3 linked regions of the Danio rerio genome follow. The protein of the gene in region 3 purifies or fractionates together with the protein of the main gene of each other region. This does not show direct contact. Links are inferred from orthologs where the notes say so. Each region holds a gene or a part of one and is shown on either strand. Other genes may lie near its edges.

Evidence for each region.
Region 1: the proteins of prkcz (region 3) and llgl2 purify together in Homo sapiens (affinity purification with mass spectrometry; 7 studies listed by BioGRID and IntAct, counting the BioPlex papers as one, with this or other methods). This does not show direct contact. The link is inferred for Danio rerio from reciprocal best matches to the Homo sapiens genes PRKCZ and LLGL2.
Region 2: the proteins of prkcz (region 3) and csnk2b purify together in Homo sapiens (affinity purification with western blotting; 3 studies listed by BioGRID and IntAct, with this or other methods). This does not show direct contact. The link is inferred for Danio rerio from reciprocal best matches to the Homo sapiens genes PRKCZ and CSNK2B.

The regions. Positions count from the first base shown.
Region 1 is NC_133187.1:35,652,220-35,659,569, reverse strand, and holds part of llgl2 (LLGL scribble cell polarity complex component 2), read left to right. Parts: intron 1-174; coding exon 175-325; intron 326-421; coding exon 422-538; intron 539-2,453; coding exon 2,454-2,620; intron 2,621-2,692; coding exon 2,693-2,954; intron 2,955-4,201; coding exon 4,202-4,364; intron 4,365-5,111; coding exon 5,112-5,140; intron 5,141-6,948; coding exon 6,949-6,996; intron 6,997-7,340; coding exon 7,341-7,350. UniProt on the Homo sapiens protein: Part of a complex with GPSM2/LGN, PRKCI/aPKC and PARD6B/Par-6, which may ensure the correct organization and orientation of bipolar spindles for normal cell division.
Region 2 is NC_133194.1:29,147,921-29,155,370, forward strand, and holds the start of csnk2b (casein kinase II subunit beta), read right to left. Parts: upstream 4,660-7,450; 5' UTR 4,624-4,659; intron 4,017-4,623; 5' UTR 4,008-4,016; coding exon 3,936-4,007; intron 1,430-3,935; coding exon 1,327-1,429; intron 1,073-1,326; coding exon 957-1,072; intron 870-956; coding exon 794-869; intron 1-793. UniProt on the Homo sapiens protein: Regulatory subunit of casein kinase II/CK2.
Region 3 is NC_133183.1:19,584,222-19,591,671, forward strand, and holds the start of prkcz (protein kinase C zeta type), read right to left. Parts: upstream 3,905-7,450; 5' UTR 3,428-3,904; coding exon 3,163-3,427; intron 1-3,162. UniProt on the Homo sapiens protein: Calcium- and diacylglycerol-independent serine/threonine-protein kinase that functions in phosphatidylinositol 3-kinase (PI3K) pathway and mitogen-activated protein (MAP) kinase cascade, and is involved in NF-kappa-B activation, mitogenic signaling, cell proliferation, cell polarity, inflammatory response and maintenance of long-term potentiation (LTP).

The sequences.
Region 1 (7,350 bases), on a different chromosome or scaffold from region 3:
AATTATTATCTACCTCACATTTAAAACACAGCTGAGAACAATTGGGAAATATTCTATGAATGCTAACTGAGGGTTACATGAAGAGCTATTTCAGTAGCGATTGGCGCTGCATACTTCAGAGTTGTTGAAACAGTGGTGCTGGCTTGATGATGAATATTCTGGATCTTTCTGCAGCTGCAGGAGATCAATGCCAGGCTGGAGGCTGAGGCTCTGCAGGAGATGGAGCTGGCTCCTGTACAGAGAAAGATTGAAGCCCGATCATCTGATGACTCCTTCACAGGTCTCGTCAGAACGCTCTACTTCGCAGATACATTTGTCAGTGATAGTAAGTACCACAGGGTTTTTTAATCTGCAATTTGGGATTAGATTTTGGGTCTTATAACTGATATGATGACCTTAATCTTCTTCTTGTTTTCCTCAGGTTCTCACAGTACACCTTCACTGTGGGCAGGGACCAATGGCGGAGCTGTGTTTGCATATGTCCTCCGTGTCCCACCACAGGAACGAAGGGCAGAGGATCCAGTGACGGCTCATGCAGGTACAAAAACTAAAATCTGAAATAATAGTCAGAAATAAATTTCTTTGTTTGCTTTCAGCTGTAAAATCATATTTAATGTATCAAAAATAATTTGCCAAATAGGAGCACAGTTTTTTGTTGATTTTAATAATACAAAGTACTGTTGTGACTGCTACTGAATCATTATCTACATGGTGCAGGTGGTTGGTTGCTGTCACCTTAGCAGCCAATAAGCTTGTTCTTGAACATTCACATTCAGGTTCACATGTTTTTAGATCTGCTACGGGGAGTCACATATACAGTTGAAGTTAGAATTATTAGATCCCGGTTTATTTAAATTTATTTAATTTATTTAATAATTTTGACCTTAAAATGGTTCTTAAAAAAATTAAAAACAAAATAAAACAAAAAAATAAAACAAAAGACTTTCTCCAGAAAAAAAAATATTATCAGACATACTGTGAAAATTTCCTTACTCTGTTAAACATAATTTGGGAAATATTTAAAAAATGTAAAAAAAAAATTCTAAGGGGGCTCAACTGTATATTGCGTTTGCAGCAGCAGTATGTTAAATTTTCAGACTGTGTGACTGTGAACATGCTGACAATAGGAAGTCTCAGTACTTGCTCTGCTGCTTTGATAAAACAGCAGCAACATAGCAGCTTTATTCCGCCAAGACTAATCTAAGACTAAATAAAAAATGTGCATTATATTTTACATATTATAAAACGTGAAGCATATTAACAAAGCTTGTGTATTTGGGTCAAGCATGAAAATGTGTAATACAATTATAGTTTAAATAGTTTAAATGTTAAATAGTTTAAATACCAGAAAGATTTTGTGATGCATATTTAATGAACATGATGAAATGATTAAACATTAAAAGAGGCTTTGTATTTCTGTTTTTTTATTACTATTTCTCTATATGTAGGTTTTTATGTACAGCTCTTTGGTCAGTCATGTGGCTGTTTTTTAAATGTACTTAATAAATAAATATATATTTTAGCAATGATATTTCGAAACTACAGTGCTGATTAAAAGCACTAATTAACTGTCACTTTAAATCCCTTTGCTGTTATAATTTGAGCATGACATTTTTAATCAAAAACAAAATCCAAATGTTGAATGAAAACTTCATCTTTTTAATATTTTAGTTAGTAAAGAAAAAATGTTTCTTTATTTTTATATGTTAAGCTGAACAAAGTATTTCACCCTTATTGTAACATTTGAAGATGTTCACAATTATTCCAAACATAATAATGAACATTTTAAATGCATTTAATGTTCCTGTTTTGTACATCCTTTTTTATATTTAATGTTACACGGATACCAAAATGGGATCTCATGCTTTTGACCCGTAACATTTTACCCCAAACTTAAAAACAAAACAAAGCCTCAAATTTGCCTACAACGACACATAATGATGCTGTTTCTTTCACCATATTATTGACAAGGAAGCTTATTTTCTTTATGTGGAAACATACATCTCCACCTTCATATGATAGATAGATAAAATGTTTTTGATTTATTTATTTAAGGCTGGAAAGTAATTAGAATTTATTAAGAGGGCTTTTAAAACCTTTTTATAAAACACGGAAAACCTTTGTTGAATTACATTGATACTATTGATCTTGAAGCAGAAGAGGAACAACCCATTTTGGATATTAACTGTATTATTTAATAACTACATTTATTTGTATTATTTATTTATTTATTTGTTTATTTATTGTAAATGATCATTTGTACTTGTATTGTAAGGTTAGGAGATATGGGGGATTGTGGTGGGATATTTAAAAAGCAGCAATGGTATTATTTGTTTTGGTATGTATATGTTGTTGTATCTGGATAAAATGTTAATAAACATAATTGGCAAAAAAATAAAAGAAATAATAAATGAGTCAAATGCTTACTATAAAATGTGCTTTTCCATCACCAGCCAAAGAGATTCAGTTGATGCATCGTGCTCCAGTTGTCGGTTTGGTGGTCTTGGATGGGAAGGGAGCCCCTCTGCCCGAACCCCTAGAAGTGGCACATGACCTGGCACGCAGTCCTGAAATGCATGGCTCACACCATCTATTGGTTGTGTCAGAGGAGCAATTTAAGGTGAGAATTTGCACAGTACAGTTTGGGTTTCCACTATATGTCTTGTGTCTTACCGTAGTTGTGTGTGCGCAGCTTTTTACATTGCCCAAAGTGAGCAGTAAGTCGAAGCTAAAGCTGACGGCGGTGGATGGCTCTCGTGTGCGGCGTGTCGGTGTGGCTTGGTTTGGTTCTCGGACCGATGAACAGTTAGAGAGCTGTCTGGTGGTGCTGACGAATCAGGGGGAGCTCCACGTCATCTCTCTGCCCTCCATCAAAATGCTGGTCCATTATCCTTGCATACGGAGAGAAGACGTCAGTGGAATCGCATCCTGTGTCTTCACCAAATATGGCCAAGGTAAGAAAGAGCTGAATTTCACATACTGTACATGGTTTGATAAGCTGCTAGTATAAATGAAATAAGAGTTTTTAAATGTTGTTAAAGCTTGTACATGTAAAAACTGGTATCTGGAAACTTGTAGTTGTAAGAATAAAAAGTCAGAAAGAAGTAGTTCGAAATTTTGAGTTGGTTTTTGTTTTATTTTGTTGCAGATAGAGAAATTTATAAAAAATTTAAAAAAGAAAAAAGGTTAACACTAGAATAATGTAGAGCTGTAATCAGGCCATAAAATTTAGGCCCAATAGGGCCCGAGCCCAACAAGTACATTTTAATTCACTGCTTTTCAAAAGATCGAACCCATTTACAGCCCAAGTTAATTCTTTAGTTTCATAAATTTAGTAGGACTATTCCAGGAATTAATTATTCCATTTCATAATTAATTATTAAAGTATAACTTTAATTAAAACAAGGATATGCATTAATAAGAAGTGGTCGTGGAACAAATTTGTAATTCAAATTATGTTCAGAGCTCCGTAGTTTAAAATAGGCTAACAGTCAGTTAAACTATAGTATAAAATAACACACACAGCTGCCTTAATAAATAGGCTAAAAAATACACAGTTGATCACTGAGGCCTATTTTAAATCTTAATAAAAAACTGTACTGAAAGAAAAAAGGAAAAGCATTAATACCGCTTTGAAAGAGAAACTTATTTTATCGAAGTACTTTAATTTTAGACAGTTATTCAAATTTTTTTTAGTTACAAGCGGTAATGGTTTACCAGCGAGCAAGCATATGACCATGAAGCAGAATGGTTAGCGAAGTTTACTCCACTCCGCTCGCATGCTCTATCTGCTTCAATATATAAGTTCAGTATGTTCACTATGTTACATAACTGCCCCCTGCTGGCTTTGTATTTTGGATGTTAGTCCATGTTGTGCTGTGCTGCGCATTACTGCAGTACCATGTGACATCTTAATTCACTCGTGCATTCTCAGTAGCCACATCTGTACCTAAAATTCTAACAGAAACAAAAATGTGAGAATTGTCAGATGTAAACTAAGAATTCTGAAAGGAAAATTGCAAAATTTCAAGATGTGAACTTCTGAGGGAAATTAGCCAGAATTATGAGGTGAATATCCTGAATTCTGATGATAAAAAAAAACTGTTGCAAGTAAAACATTTGCATTCATTTTTTACAAACTCCCCAGTGTAAAGCAGCTTCCATGTGATAACCTGTGAAACTCTGTCTGGTCCTCTTGTAGGTTTCTACCTGATCTCTCCATCCGAGTTTGAGCGGTTTTCTCTCTCCACCCGTTGGGTCGTGCAACCTCACTGTCTGGTTGAGCCTCCCCTCCAGATGAGGTCCAAGAGCCCATCAAGCCCTGTTCACAGGGACTTGCCGGATGGAGTACCCACCGAACACAGGTGTGTGTAGTCATGTAAAGAGTATCACTAAACAAAGACAAATGCATCGTGTCTTTAACAATAAAATAATAACACATACAATGTCTAGCTATGAGACAGAAGGCTATTTAAAATCCTGCCTCTCCACTCATATATTTGTGACTTTAATTTAGTGGATACGCTTCATATAGAGAGCTTTAATACAACAATAAGTAAATAAACATACTCCATACAAAAATAAATGCATATAAACTCATGACATAAAATAATAAGACAACAGGATTTCAAATAGTGAAGCACAAGGAGAGAGTGTTATCAAAGCAGGCCATTCTCTTACTTTGTTCATTCTTGAAGTGCAATACTGTATGTTAAATATTGCATCTTTTGTGCAATGTTGTCTTTAACACTTTTATTTCACAGTCAATCACTGTGTTGTATTGTATCAATACTCCATTCGTATTTAAGATTCTGTTACATTATTCTTGTGTATATAGAATCTCACTACTCAGTTACTGTGCAATATGTTTACTCTTTTTTTGTTTGTTTGTTTTTTTGCACTGTAAGCTCTAATTTTGCTGTACTAAATACTCAGTACAGTGACAATAAAGAATTTTGAAACCTGTAAGTGCCATTTTGTATTTTTGGTGATTAGATTAGTTGTTTTAGACTGCTGTTTTAATAAGCGACACCATTTCAGATTTAGTTTCTGGTTGTAAAAAATGTACCAAAGTGTTAATATATTGATGTTTGTTTGTTTTGTCTTTCCAGAAATTTCAAAGGGGACAGTGAAGGATATGGTGAGATTCAGAGTTTTCTTCTCTTTTTTTTTTTCTAGTTGTGTGTGAGAACTAAACATCTAATACTAAAACGCATGTTGTTAGTGCTTTGTTGAATGCTTTCCCACATTATTCCCACAAGTCTCATGCAGATGACTTACAAACACAATCTGTAATTGATGAAACTGGGCCATGTTGAAAATTTCAATGTTATAAGTACTTGTTATTTATTTGAGGTGGTATGAACGGCAAAGCATCATACTATTGTATTTAAACAGCCTTCATGTCCACTCATTTAAATAATCATATAATTTACTGTATTTATGTACAGCTATTAAAAGACCACCTAAATGATCAGTTTCTTTGGATATGCAATTTATAATCATATAAGAAAAATACATGCGCAGATACAATAGTATGGCCTAAGAAATAAGCACTCTATTAGATTAGCAATTGAAAGCAACACGTGCAATATTTGATTATATTCAGAAATTATCTAAAATTAACTTCTGAATTTAATCAAATAATCCACATGTTGCTTTCAATTGCTAATCTAATTGAGTTTATTGCCACATTATCCGAATATAAAAGACCTTAATTTTATTTACTTTTTATTACGTTTTGATTTGACTCTTTTTTTTCCCATGTCCAGTGTAACAAGCTCTGTTTGCCATACATTTGTAAGTAAATGTTGAAAATAATGCAATAAAGTCTAAAAACAAAATAAAAATAGCATTTGTCAGAAAATAAAAATTGTTTTCAGACAAATGTCTATACATTATTTTGACAGAGAATGTTAATATTTTATTTTTATTAATGTTATTAAAATGTTTTTTATTGAATGCCAAATTCAATGCAAATTTAGATGTGTATTAGTCAACGTAGAAGCTGAAAAAAGAAGCAAAATATTTTTCTATTTTAGAGAAGGTAAAACATTTAAAAAATAAATAATAATAACAATGAATGAATATTAATAATATTAATAATAATAATATTTCAGAAGCGTATATGCAAAACTTAGAGTTCAGATCTCTATTTGGTAAAATAACCCTCATTTCAGTCAACTAATGAAAATATTTTCAAAAACCAAGTGCTGTGAATGAAAATATTTTATTATATACTATTATTTTTTTTAATATGGAAGAAATATCAAGCCTTTATCATGTAAAACATTTTACTCAAACCTATACTTAATAAATACAATAAAGCAATAAAATAAAAATATTAAATTAGCTGAATTATATAATTTATTATTATATTATTTTTAGATTATATAAATTATAAAATGTAAATAAAATTGTACTATTATTATTATTATTATTATTATTATTATTATTATTATTATTACAAGGTCGCTGGTTCCAGGCCTCGGCTGGGTCTGTTGGCATTTCTGTGTGAAGTTTGTATGTTCTCCATGTGTTTAAAATGCACTATAGGTGAATCGGGTAAGCTACATTGTCCATAGTGTATGTGTTTGAATGAGAGTGTATGGGGGTTTTCCAGTGATAGATTGCAGCTGGAGGAGCATCAGCTATGTAAAACATACGCTTGATAAGTTGCATTCCACTGTGGCGACCCCAGATTAATAAAAGGACTAAGCCGAAAAGAAAATGAACGAATGATTATTATTATTATTATTATTATTATTATTATTATTGTATTTTATTAGTAGATCATAATTAATAAAATATTTTAAAAAGCAGTATTTTAATAAAGGTAAAACATTGCTGTGGCCTGCCAGTACCCACAATTGCAGATTGTGTGAATAACTCCTCTTAAAAGTGTTTGCACGTTTGCGCTGGACTGATCCGTGTGCTTGTGTGTTCCAGAGAATTCTGCTAGACAAGTAATGGAGCATGCTTTGCTCAACGATGAGAGTGAGTACACCAGGAATCAGCAGTTAGACAGCATATTCTCCAGTTTAGACAAATCATTAGATAGCATATCAGATGATTGTCAGTTTGTTGATTGTTTCTTGCTTGCTCTTTTTGTTCCATGACACAAAAACTACAATCTAAACATGCTGAACGTGTTCTAGTGATCATGTTCTGGTCTGTGCAGTCATGTGTGCGCATGATTTGTAAGGCTGCCATCTGCCTGCACCATAATATTGTCTCATTAATATCTGTGCAAGTTTTTGAAAGGATGAACGCATTTTTGAGTACTTCACATTAGTCAATTGTGGGTAAAACTGTTTAAATCACATCTTGCTTTAATTCAGGTGTTCTGCA
Region 2 (7,450 bases), on a different chromosome or scaffold from region 3:
ACAATGGACTGCCTGAAGACCAGCGGCCTGTACCATAACGCCAGATTAGCTGGCTAGCCAGTTAAGTTTGCACCAATTCTGGGTTTTAGGTAGCATGAACGTAGCTTAGCTTATATGCTCCATAGTACCATGAGAACAAAGAGGGACTAAAATTGAGCTGACTTCATGTTACCTAAAACCCAAGATTGGGTCAAACCAAACAAACTGAACTGGCTGGCCAGCTAATGCTACAGGCTCCACTGTTTACACTCTTTCGTCAGATCACAAGTCTTCCACATTTACTCCTTGTGTTTTAATCCGCCTTTTGGCTTTTAACATGCAGTAACGGTTGTGCTCATGAAATAAATCAGCAAAGTAGGCGCTGTGAAATACAGTGTACAAGTTACATTATATTTGTGCTTAAATGCTAAAGTGAAGACATGGTGAAATTAAAAATAAAAAAACATTTATTTTTAAATAAAAAATACATTTAAAATAAATAAATAAATGACAAATTAAAAACAAGTACAGATTTTTGTGCCAATATTTTAAAATATGACTTGTTTTTAACTGTATATAAGGATAGACCTACATAAAACTTTTAAAGACAGAGCCTACAGTGCTCAATCAAATGATACATATTCTTTATTATTTTTATTAATATTAATGTGTCGTTTAAATGGTTATATTTAATCAACTAAATAATTGTATGTCAATATGCAACTACTGCAAATACTTTTACCTTATACATTTTTCTACTACATGAAAACTGGGTTGGTAAAATAACATGCACAAAACAGGCTGAGGCACTCACCAATAGGCAGCATTGGCTGATTCTCACAGTAAACACGAGGACAGTAGCCAAAGTCTCCCTGCTGATATTTCTCCAGCTCCAAGAGAAAACAGCACATCATGTCACAATACAATAACATCTTTCTTAAATGAAATGATTCAAAAAATTGAAAAGGAGATCATACCATCTGGGCAATGCCACGGTTAGTGAGGATATAGCGAGCATGAATCAGCCCATAGAGCATCTCAGCAGCCTGCTCAATCAGGTCACTCTGGTTAGGGTTATCCTCCAGCTCCTCATCTGATGAACACAAGAATCATCTCACTATTCACATGACACTGCTTTCCAACAAGAACAAGAAATATTTGGCAGGACTTGACGTCATCCATTGGCAATTGACTGAATGCTGGTTTAGCTATTGGCTAGTCTCATGTAAGTGACAGGTTGGGCCGTTAATGCGTTTAATTAAAGCTTAAGGTTGAATTATTTAAAAGAAATGCTGACCATAATGATGGCACAAAAGTGGGATTGTGTAGAAAAACTAAATGACTGACCAGGTTCCAGATCGAGGATCATGTCCAGAGCTTGTCTGTAATGGGGAACTTGCTCGTTGAGTCCTGTAAGATTAAACTTGTCCTGAATATAGTCCTCATCCACCTGTATAGAGGGGAAGAAAAAGAGCAAAGCACATTAGGAATGCATCAATGAAAATAAAACAATTGTTCAAAAAAACTAAACAAAAAAACTGATTTCTGCTTTATTTTTATATAAAAAGCAGTTTCAGAGAGTTTTTGATGCTGTTTTAGCTAGACAGACAGATGGTGGTTTGTTCTGTATATTTTATTCCACTTTAAGTGCTTCCCACAGATTTCAAATATACTTGCGGTGGTAGCCGGATTGAAACACCTTTTACCCAGAGCACAAAAATAGTTAACCATATGCGACAAACAAAACATAATTAGATTTTCACAATATTTTGATTTATTAAGGATCTGTTTTAAACTTTCTTTTCAATGGCTTAAAGTTTGTGGGAGTGTTGACAGTTCTCGCGCACACAGAACGAACAGTACAAAATGGGTCAAGGAGAGATTTTCCACTACTTAATCGCTTGCGGATGTTTGTTGATATTGGGCGGATACAAAAAAAGTGTAAAAGGAAGATGATGATGATGATAATAATAATAATAGTTAAAAAAAAAAAAAGTGTCACTAAATATACTTGAGCGGACGCTTGATATACCTGGGCAGCCTGCCCAAGTAAAGCCTATGCATGGGAAGCACTGAAAATTCATTCCTACAACATCGTTTCAGAATCAGCACAAAGGTGATGCTCATGTCTACTGGCAGGGCTCGAAATTAAACATTTTGCATGGTAGCACTGGTGCTCCCGACTTTAAAAAGCAAAAATTTAGTCGCACCCACCAATTATAAGCACTGTTACTACAAGTTTTAATGTTATATTAAGCGATTTACTGCAATTATATTAGCTGCAATATAAGTTGTATGTCGATAAATGCAAGCCACTTTGCGATGGTGTTCGTGGTGTTACATTTTACATATAGCGCCACCTGCACAGCTGACAGCATCCTAACGATTTAGTCATTTTCATAGCGAACTTTTAACACTGGAAGTCTTTTATCCACTCTTGGAAAAGAGTAAACGCTGGATTGACATTAACCACATGACCACTAATCAGACGTGTCTTTATTTGTAACTTTAGGTGTTTTCTAAAACTAAATCTGTCAGTGTTTTCTTTTTTTCATCTTCAGTGCTCTACATGTTCGCGATTGTAGCTCTCCCTGTCATCTAAAGAAAGCCATCGACCAAGTGATTGACAGCTGATATTAACCAATTTGTTCGCATTCAGTTCTAGAGCAGTGGGCCAATCAGAAGAGCTTGAGGGTGGGGCAAGCATTGTGCGCTTTATGGCAGCAAGTTGACTTAACAACTGTTTTAAACTATTCATGAGCGCTGCATTTGGCGTCTCAGGTGCTAAGATGCATTCTGCGCGAATGACTCCTAAATCTGCATGTGTGGTGAACATTTTGCAGTGAAAACCGGTCGCACGGCACCAATATTATGCAGTCACACAAATGCTCCTAAATATATTTGGAGGTCGCATGGATAAAATTTTGCCCGCATATGCGACCAAAACAGTCGCAATTTCGAGCCCTGAACGGTGATTTCAACTGCAGTTTATACCCAATCAATATTGAAAAGATGAAAGTACAAGTGTGCGAATATAAAACTAACTTTACCTCAATAACATCTCACATCATATGTAATCGCTTAATCAGTAAAACTGCATGTAAATGTGTCATCTACCTTAATTTAGTGTGTATTTCTAAGATATAAACTCGAAAGAATAGTTTTTTTGCCTAAACATTGACACAATTAGGAGCTTTTCTTTTTATTAACGCATTAGAAGTTAGGCATGGGCCAGTATAAGATTCTGACGATATGATTACCTTGGATAAAAACACAACGGTTTCATGGTATTCATGGTGCTCTAAAATATATCCTTTTTAAATGTCTGAGTAAAAAAAAATTAAAACTGTTTTCCCTGTAGAACACAATATATTTTAATTTGAGTAACATTTAAGTATTTTGGAGCAGTAAACATGTCAAGCTGAATAATTCAAAAGAATCATTGACTTCTGTCGACTCCTTTAGTTTCAAAAACACTGATTTCTTTACAATTTAAAACTGCATCTTTGGATATCTTTTCTGCTGGAGATACTTCCATCCTAAAAACCTTAAAAAAAACCCACTTACATATACCGTAGGATCGGTACAGCAGAAAATATTGAAAGTTTTAAAACCTTGACTTTTCCAAGCCATGGTATAACTTGAAAACAGTTATCGCACCATGCCTATTAAACGTAGCAGAATACATTGTACAAACTATACAGCAACTGGATGTAATAATCTAGGCTTTGCTGGATAATGGAACCATTTAACATTTTATTAATGTGCAAGTTCTTTCAGTAAAAAAGGTCATCAAACATGTTCAATAAACCACAAAACTGCAATTCTATCTTCATTATATGCCTGTATATGTCTTCAAACAAAAGGCACACACCGATTTTTTTTAACTGTGTATTATTACACACCTGCTTATTATACAACATAACAGAATAACTTACAAAGATGACAATACAAACCTCACAGAAGAATTCATTTCCCCGTAGACCACAAAACCAAGAAATCCACGACACTTCCTCTGAGCTACTCATGTTGGGAAACTAAAAAAAAGCAGATTAACAATTAGTCACTGTAAAAAGTAGCAGTCACTATTAATAATACAAGAAAGGGTCACTTTAATAGTAACATACGACAATTTTACTGAAAATAGGTTAATACTGCCCTGTTAATAAGTCTCGGGTAGCAAATTATATTGCGTTGCTAATACGTTTAAGATGAGTACATGTTTATAACAAACTGCATCGAGTCTAAACAGTTTTCACGTAAACAATTGACTGGACTGGTCTGACGCACGCTAGCATAGCCTGCTGGTCACATTTTAAGCCTCATGACGAATACAGTAAAATACATATGCACAATAGTTCCATCTAAGGCCGAAAAAACATTGTGATGTTTAACAGCCAGGCAAGAGTTTTAATAAGTGTTGATTTTCTGGTTTGTGTGCTCAGCTAATGCTAGGTGTGGTTAGCTTGCCGCTGCTTCAAACTAGGCCGCATCAAATTCGCCGACTGATCCACAATTATGTAAAACGGGGAGCGTCGTGATGTGTGAAATAAACTGCGAATTAAAATAAATAGATGCTAATTAACATAACGTCGAAATTACTTCACATCCCTGCTCATAATAGCGATAAAAGCGTTTACTGACGTTACCTCAAGGATCTCCCGGGGTCGATGTTAGCCGCAGCGACACAACTGTACGCTGATTGGAGGCTTCCGCTGTGCATCACGTGATCACAAGTCACCTCACTTCCGCTCACGTCGCTGATCTTGTAGGAGTTGTAGTTTCTGAGTTGTAGAGTCGTTCCTTTTCTATATTCACTTTTTGGTTTCCTTGCATTCGTTTTCGTGTAATATTCTATTGATGCGATCAATTACTTAGGTCAGAAAAACTGATATTTCAATGAAAGTAACTGACACGTGATCCGTAGCTGGCGGGCATGTCACTTTTATTCATTCATTCATTTGTCTTTTTGGCTTAACTTTAGTCCCTTTATTAATCAAGGCTTGCCACAGCGAAATGAACCGCCAACTTATCCAGCATATGTTTTACGCAGCAGATGCCCTTCCAACTGCTACCCAACTCTGGGAAACATCCATGCACACTCATTTACACTTGTACATTAAAGGCCAATTTTAGCTTAATTCAACTCACATTCTTCATCCTTTTTTTTTTTTTGACTTGTGGGAAAACCGGAGCACCCGGAGAAAACCCACTCGAAAACGGGGAGAACATGCAAACTCCACACAGAAATGTCAACTGACCCAGCCGGGCAGTGGTGTCCCTAGAAAATTTTCTTAGGGATGGCCAGAAGAGGCTGCACCAAATCTTGGGGTGCCACACAAAAAATAATGAATTCAGCAAAAAGTTATTCTTTTGTTTTTGGTAAATATATTAATGTGGTTTTAATTCATTTAACTAATTACTCTTGAAATATTGCAATTTATTCCTTGAAATATTTCAGCAAGTACATGTGCAAACCAAATAAAAATATATTTATTATTATTATTTAGATATTTAGTTTAAAAACACTCCTCATATAACATACTTTTCAGTTAATTTTACATACCTTTATCGTACAGCATACAGTATAAACCATGTCTAAAATTATTGAAGATTAATTAATAAATTAATACTACACACAAATGAACAAACTAAACAAAAAGCAATACTACACACACACAACACACACTAAACAGACGCTAATAATATAATTTATCCATATTCCTTTTTGAGCCACACTGTTATTGTCACAGCGACGCAGAAGGTAGCACTGTCGCCTCACAGCAAGAAGGTCGCTGGTTCGAGCCTCGGCTGGGTCAGTTGGCGTTTCTGTGTGGAGTTTGCATGTTCTCCCTGCGTTTGCGTGAGTTTCTTCTGGGTGCTCCAGTTTCCCCCACAGTCCAAAGACATGCATTACGGGTGAATTGGGTAAGCTAAATTGTCAGTAGTGTATGAGTGTGTGTGTGTGTGGATGTTACCCAGAGATTGATTGTGGCTGAAGGGCATCCGCTGCGTAAAAACCTGCTAAATAAGTTAGTGGTTCATTTCACAGCCCCGGATTAATAAAGGCACTAAGCCAAAAAAAAAATGAATGAATATTATTGTCACAACCCCGGCTCATTCCTGCTCACCCAATCAACGTTCTCCTTCAAATACCACCTCCATCCAATCCAGTGATTCTTCACCAGACTTCTTTTGCACCAGCTCCCCTTTACCCATGCACACTATAAAGACCCACCTTCTCGGTTCACTCATCGGCTGATATTGAAGTCAGATGGTTGTCTTCACCTTTGCTCTTTCGTCTTCTCACCTTCTTCCATGGATGTTTCTTATGAGTTTCCGTGTCCTTCATACTGATCAACAGAAGTGATTATTCTTATCTGATGTTTACTAGAAGATCTGCTATCACTCTGAGCTGTGTATCTGTGTACTCACCTGCTGTGTCTACAGCGAGCGAACTTCTAGTGAGATTGAATGCTACACTATTGACACTCACATTGCTGTGTATGAAGATCACAACAGCATACATCAACCCTTTGAATTCCTTTTGTGATTAGTGACTTTGTTTTGAATAAAACTAAAATGTCTTCCTTGTCTACCAGCATGACTATTATTAATACCGCTTCTTCTATTGATGTACCTTAAGGTAAATATTAACTTGCCATTGCTGTCTAATGAAGGTGTGTGTGTGCTGTCAACAACGATCGGGGAGGGGCACCTATCAACCCACAGTCATTTAGTGGCTATTTATTAATTATTTATTCTAATATTGTGAATTTACATAAGTACATTTAAATGAATAATTTTAACAGCAAAATCATATTAGGGTGGCCAGACTTGGGGGCGCCCCTGCAGCCAGGGCTTGAACCAGCGACCGTCTTACGATTGTGCTACCCACTGCACAACTGCGATGCCCCGTGTCACTTTTAGTCTGAGGTTTCAATAAAGAAACTGTATGAAAATGAAAATAGTCACTTAAACTTTTTACCGGAAGTTGATCATTGGCTGAAAAACAGGAGCTGTGCCAATAGTCCAATTCAATTAAGAAATGGGCAAATGAGGGAAAGCGGGAGTTCCATTGAACATTTGAGCAAAGTTTCCTCACTTTCCTGACAGAAGAAACAAGTATCTGCAATATCAGTCAATTTTGAGATCAATGCATTTATCAGGTGTATTTAGTGTAGAATTTTAAAATGAATTTTCTTAGCATTGCTTGGGATTACTCTAAGAGTTGAGATGCAAAAACCTCTAAACACCATCTGGAATGTTCTTCTATAATGAGCATTTTTCTTAGCCTATTCTGTTTATGTTCAGATATTTCATATTACAAGCAATGAAGATAATCGATTTTATGCCAAAAAGTGAAATTACTAAATCAAGACACAGGAGCCTGAGAGAAATGTTAATATTTGAAGAACATTTGAGATGGCACTTACAGGTTTTTGCATCTGAACTCTTTATATTAATAATT
Region 3 (7,450 bases):
TAGTGCTGGCTTGCTGCTGATCTCAGCTTGAGGACCAGATCAGTGCTAAAACTGCTGACCGACTCAAGTTCTTCATGGTGAAATTTGGTTAAAGAGAGTTGCTAGAAAGGATACAGCTGTGGCCGGAAGCTAACTAGATTTTTGTTTACTTATTAAAGTGATAGTTTACACACACACACAAATAAAAATTCTGTTAACATTTACTCTCCCTTTACTTGATCCAAATCAGTTGAGTTTCTTTCTTCTGATGAAAAGAAAAGAAAATATTTTGAAGAAAGCTTGAAACAGTTAACAGGGAGTACTTTTCATTTTTGGGTGAAATATCCCATTAAATTACCAATGAAATAGTTTTTTTTAGGTTTACACATACACCTACCCCAACCCTAAACCAATCCTTCAGAGTAATGTGAGAACAGTACTTAGTGTCACAAAAATGATGGTATATTTATGTGTGCATACTTAGTAGCCGCAGTTGAATCCATTCTAGACTTTGCATTTAAAGAGGCTATACAGCATTTAACATTTGAAGTGGATCAAAAACATAAAAAATTGTCCTAAGAGAAGAATGGCCGGTGTTCAATAATAGTTTTCATACAACCTTAAAGACAGCTGAAAGTCGGCGCCAATAGCCTAGTGGTTAAGTGCGTCGACATATAGCACCATGGTGCTCACGGCAATCCGAGATCGATTCCCGGCTTGAGGTCCTTTGCCAACTCTTCAACTCTCTCTGCTCCTAATACTTTTCTGTCTGCAACCTATACTGTCCTGTCCAATTAAAAGTAAAAATCACCTTAAAAAATAATTATCCATCAAAATAATAATTAATCGAAATCCCTTTAAGGCAAGTGATTTCACCCCGCAGCCATTTTTGAAAGACCTCTCGGCCAGTACGCTCGTGCATTCTGTCTAAATGGAGAAACATCAAATTCTCCAAAACTGTTTGTCAAGCTTACAATTACATTACATATTTGGAATTGCCAATAAAATTTGTCTTTTTAGTTTAATTTCTAAACGTTCCAATCAAAAAAAATTGACATTTTTCAGGTTGACCGAGCTAATGCGCATGCACACTCGAAAGGAACGAGATCCCGACACCAACCTTATTTATGGCTGTTTTACACATTATCATTCTCTGAATAACGATCGTCCGATTCCGCTAGTCTTCTGAAGTAATTCACAACTTGGTCTTAATGGCGAATCTGTTTACTAGTTTGTGGGGCATAGTTTGAGTTCTTGCTGCTTTCATGTGATGTGGCTCCTGTACTAGTAGGCGGGGCTTCATTCACCATATTGACATTTACGCTTTTCCCCATTCAAAAGTATACGACTGACATGTCTGGAGTATTCTAGAGTCTTTGATACTATATACTGAATTCAAAAACTCTTGTTAATAGTGATACCAGTGGCCATTCAGTGAATGACAGCCAGAAACTTATTGCAAGTACTAACACAACTGCACAGGTTTATAGAAAAGACTGAACATGAACCTTGGCAAACAGCTTGCAGTTCATGTCAGCCAATTAGTTTTCCTGCCACTCGAAAATAAACATTGCAGAGGGCATACAATGATTAACAAGAAATAAACAAACACGACTAACGGCTAACTCACAGCTCTACAGAAAGTTGAATATCCAACCGGCTGGTGCAGAAGCTGAGAGAAGATCATGTGAGCTCTACTAATGCTCTTATTGGCTGTTGCTAACGAAAGTCGTTCTTCATTTGGATAAGGTTGAAGGATTCTCAGCTTTTTTGTATTGCTGGACATCCACACATACAGTCACCAACAGTTGTTGTCACTTGTATAGTTGGGAGAATGCCAGAAGTCTCTAGCTCTCCATTGATATGAATAGTCAATTGTTGCTTTGTCCCTGCTGGTCTTTAGTAGTTTGAATTGTGATCAAGACATTAAAGTTTTTTGTTATTTGAGAACCGATTGTATCATTGCAAGATGGATACTGCTAACAAAATAAAGGAAGATTGATGAATGGACAAAAGTAAGGAGACATGTCCCTCCCAAAAGCCTTTCCATGTGACCTGAAGTGAAGAAAAGTCATTTCAGGGGAAAGGGAAGGTTATGGTATTTAATCTTTACAAAATAATGAAGCACACACAGCCATCATTTATAGTATAAAAAAAATAGGAAGACAAAATTTTAATTTGATTGCAACTTTAATTTATTACCAGTCATGATTATTTGTTTTGATTTGCTTGTGTATGTTTTCTGACTCTCAAAAGGTGCCCGTAATCATTGACCTGCATTTTATAAATCAACTACAGTTTCAGCTAACAACATTCTATAGTGTTCTGCTTAAGAATCTGCTTTAGTTCTGTTAGGTGACCAACACCTTTAAAAACAGCATCCCGCATTTATTACATCAGGACTGGACCACCACCAGCCAAGTTATAAATAACCAAACGCATCAATAACCCTTCACAGATTTGTTAGAAGACATTTACTTCGCATCATCAGGGTTCTCCCGAGCAGGCGCTGGTGTGCTGCAGTGGCCATATTTAGATTTATTGCCAATCAATACTGGAACAGGTGGATCATATGACATCCCAACACAGACACTGCAGCTAAAAACAGCAACACCGAGCAGCATTTAAGACACAAACCACTCAAAAACTGCTGCTTTTGGCTGCAACACACCAAGGACAAGTTGGAGACTTAATGCACCATGAAAACAAACCAAACAGGGTTCATTGAGCCAAAGCTCAACCGGACTCCCAGTGTGTCTGCAGGTCCATCTGATACAAAAATCAACTCAGAAATGAATCTAACGTCATTCGACAACAGTATCAGGATCCTGGCGTTCCAACCGAACACAATTCCCCTTTGTTACTCCCCAAGAACGTTAGAAACAAACTAACATGAATGTGACTCCTTGTGTCTTCAGTCACGGGAGAGATGCAGAGCCTCGTGTTTGGGTGCATCGTGGCCAAGAGCTGCTGGATAACTGACATCTCGCTAATTATGACAGTCAGACTTAAATAATGCATGAGCATCTATTTTAACCAACCTCTTTGGAAATAGCGAAGGGATGTGATAAACCAATCATAATGACACAAATCAGAGTCGCCAGCCCACATTTCCATCTATTAGTTAGCCCTAAACTCTTAATAATATGCACACAATAGCCTGATAGAGCGCCGTTCACATACCGTCAGCCTTCTTAGGATGCATCGGGTCTCCGGCACCAAGAGCTAAGAGAGTGTGTCTGTGTCTTCCTTTGTGTGTGAAAGCTAAATGAAAGGATGCTAGCTGCTCTCTGGAAGTCTGACTAAACATGCCAGGTAGGCAAATCGCACACACATACACCAACACTGCCGCACTCGCCAACAGGTTCAGACCCGAGAGTGGCAAGCGAAAGACGAGCCATCGAGTCACCGCAAGGTGGGATGAGAATAAACAGAATGCATCAAACATGCAGGCACACGGCGGATTCGCCTTCGCATCCGCACGCACACACAAAATGAGATGGAAGGGGTGGACAAAATGGGAAAGATGTCGACGTTGCGGTGCTCACCGGTATCTTCCTGTTTTCTGCTCGTTTCAGCACATTTTCCCCTGGCAGCCTCCAAACGACGCACCGGCTACATCCCCTCCTCCCTCGCCGTCTCCTCTGTTCACTCAATCTCTCCTCTTCCTTGCGACTTATTTAATTATTTCTCCCCCTCCCTGCCGCTCCGTCGCTCCCTGCGTGCGGTCGTTACAGCTGGCTGTCCTTGTATAGGCTGCGTCCTCGATGGATGGATGGATGGATGGATGGATGGATGGATGGATTGATGGAACGGGCAGCTCTGCTGGAAGCCCTAATTGAGACGGGCGGCACAAACAAAAGGAGGGAGTTCCTGCAACACAGAACGGATATTTTTGCTACGGTGCCTGGCTCTGCTCTGCACTCTTCGCCTCTCTTCTCTATTATTTCACTCTCTCGTCCTTTTCTCTCTCTCTCACTCTCATCCTTTCGTCAGGGTGTAGCTGAGTCCCCAGAGAGCCGGTGGCAAACAGCTGAGGGGCCCGCTGGAAAACGTGGCATGGAGCGCGAGGGAGCGGAGCATCAGGGTGGATGGTGAAAGAGCTTAGTGTGTGGTGTATGAGAAGGAGGAGGAGGATGGTTGATAATGGCTGGGACTTTTTGATAATTAGTGGTAATCTGAATAAATTTGATACTTAATGTATTACAATTTCGCCACTTACTGTTTGTGGCATGGACATAAATAATACCTTAATTTAGCCAGACTCTTGAGGAAAGCAAGTTGTGGTGGATGATAAAAAAATAATTATACTTAAGCGAGTTACATTAAATAAAGAATATATAGATAAAGTCAGACTTATTAGCCCACCTGAATAATTAGCCCCCCTGTTTATTTTTTCCCAAATTTCGGCTTTTCAACACATTTCTAAACACAATCGTTTTAATAACTCATTTCTAACAACTGACTTCTTTTATCTTTGTCATGATGACAGTAAATAATATTTTACTAGATATTTTTCAAGACACTTTTATAGAGCTTAAAGTAAAATGTAAAGGCTTAACTAGGTTAATTAGGTTTACTAGGCAGGTTAGGGTAATTAGGGAAGTTATTGTATAACAATGGTTTGTTCTGTAGACTATCGAAAAAAAAATAGCTTAAAGGGGCTAATCATTTTGACCTTAAAATGTTTTTTAAAATGTAAAAAACTGCTTTTATTCTAGCTGAAATAAAACAAATAAGACTTTCTCCAGAAAAAAATATTATCAGACAAACGGTGAAAATTTCCCTGCTCTGTTAAACATCATTTGAGAAAAATTTTAAAAAAGAAAAAAATTCAAAGGGGGTTTAATAGTTCTGACTTCAACAGTATATTGCTTAAGACGCCAAATACGTTTGACCTTAAAATATTTTACTACAAAAAAATGCTTTTCAAAACAACTTTTATTCTAGCCAAAATTAAACTAATTTCCGAAAAAAAAAATATTAAAAGGAATTGTATAAAATCCCTTGCTCTGTATTCATCGTTTGGTAAGCATTTAAATAAGAAAAAATTCAAAGGAGGACTGATTAATGTGACTTCAACTGTACATTATGTAATAAAGACTTGGAAGTACACTTTGTAACCAAGCATCCAAAGCAACATAGCAACCACCTAGCCACACCTTAGAAACCATACGCACTACAAAAAAAATGCTTTTCTTAAGTTTTAAGGAAAAACTTTATATTTTGACATAATATTAATAAGACAATATTATTTAGTTGTGTAGAAAATACTTCTTGATTTAAAGAATTTGTCAATTTTTGAACTAGAAAAAAAAGACAAACTAAGAAAAGCATTTTTGCTGTGCCACCACTTGAATGCTGCATACTTGCGTGAAAAAAACACTTGAACCTACAGCAAGATCCTATAAATAACCGAGCAACTTTTACATGCAAACACTGCAAAAACTTTTACAGGAAACTATGAACTGTAAGAAGAAGAATGTTTTTTATTACACATGGTGCAAATAATTCCTTATCAATTTCAAAGTTTGATTTATAATCCTTTTTTTGACACATTATAGTCTATTTCCTTTTGTTTCAACAACAGAAATAGTTCCAAACAAACCAGCGCAGACAGTTCATGCATCTCAAAGTAATTCTGATGTAATTTTTTTTTTACTAATCCCAAATCCAGTTTGTGGATATGCTCTAAAAGTATACTCTTTTTGGGAATGGGCATTCAGTTGAAGTCAGAATTATTAGCCCTCCTGAATTATTAGCTAAAGAGTAGTCAAGCCTTGAAACATAGTCATTAATGGACTGTTTTGTTACTTAGATACAGTATGTGCCCTGTCAATCATGTTCTCACATCCTCCACATTCCGGTATATGTAATATCCTTCAATACCAGGGTTGACATTCCATGCTAATCTGCCATTGGTGAGACTTTTAAGGAGAGACATCTCCTCATGTGTTTGCATAAGGTATTCAACATGCAATGACTAAAAGTGTCTTAATAAAAAGATACAATCCCTTACTCTCCATATAACCATCTGTCATACTACATTTAATGTAAAGTAAAGTGTCTGTTTTGAAATACAGAGCTAAAAAAAGGGCAATCATTTTTGCAAGAGTCAATGTGACTTACTTTCTGAAATAATCCCGTTTTTGATGTTAAACAAACAGCAAGAGTTCGCAACCACTGATAGAATCAAAGGACTCAGGAGATTGCATGAAGACTGTGAGATCAGGGATTAATCTGACAGAGAAACTCCTACACACCTCAGCAAAGCCCGAAGACCAAACACAGACATTTTTGATCAAACACCAACTCTCAGCAAAGCCAACAAACACCATCACACAGCACAGCAATATCAATCCAGCCTCGGTACAGTTATTCACTCTAAAATTACAACCATATCATCATTTACTCTTCTCTTCTTGGTGAATCCTCTTTTCTATAAACTTCAATTGCTTCCATTAAGTATTATATAAACTCATAAGACTTAAAAATATATATACATACTTTTTTCTGATTTAAATATTTACAAATCATCAATAAATAAATAAATAAATACAAGCAAAAATACATAATTAATAGTTATCACCATACATCCACAGATTAATTTAGAATTAGAAACATATTACAATTTTTCTAAAATGTTATTCACAGCAGGGAAAATAAGTATTGAACACTTCACCGTTTTTCTTAGAAAACATATTTTAAAGGTGCCATTGAAATTTCCCCCGGATGTTGGTAACAACCAAAAAACATCCATATACGCAAATAAAACAACTCTTATTAGTTTAAAAATGAAGTTATGCATAATGAAGAATAAATAAAATGATGCAAGGATGAAGTATTGAACACATGAATAAAGGGAGGTGTAGAAAGCCAGTGAAAGCCCAAACAGCAGCTGAAATCTCTCAGTAGTTCTTCAGCAACCCTCAGTCCTTCCTCAGTGTAAATGAATACTAGCTGCTTCAGTCCAACATCTACATTAGCAGGATGATGAAGATGAAATCAGGGTGGACATTTCAGCAAGACAATGATCCAAAACACATCCAAGGAAACTCTCAAATGCTTTCAGAGAAAGAAAATCAAGCTGATGGTCCAGCCAATTACCCGACTAGGATCCAATAGAAAATACAAAGTAAAGATCAGATTTGATAGACGAGAGCCAAAACCTTCAAGAGAACCATTAACCACTCACAACGTGAGCAATTCATGTGACTTCATTCTCCATAAAAGAGGTGTCTTTAAGCTGTCATCACCAAAAAAAAAACTTTTATGTAAAGTATTAAATACGTTTCAGTAGTTCAGCACTTTCTCCTTGTGTCATTTCATTGTTTTTACACATAACTCATTTTCAGTTTTTCTTTATTTTTTTATGTTTGTATTGTTTTTTTTTCTGCTTCTATTCCATGTCAACAGCTTCTTCAGAAATATTACTCCCAGAAAAAAAAGACATGATGTGTTCAATACTTAT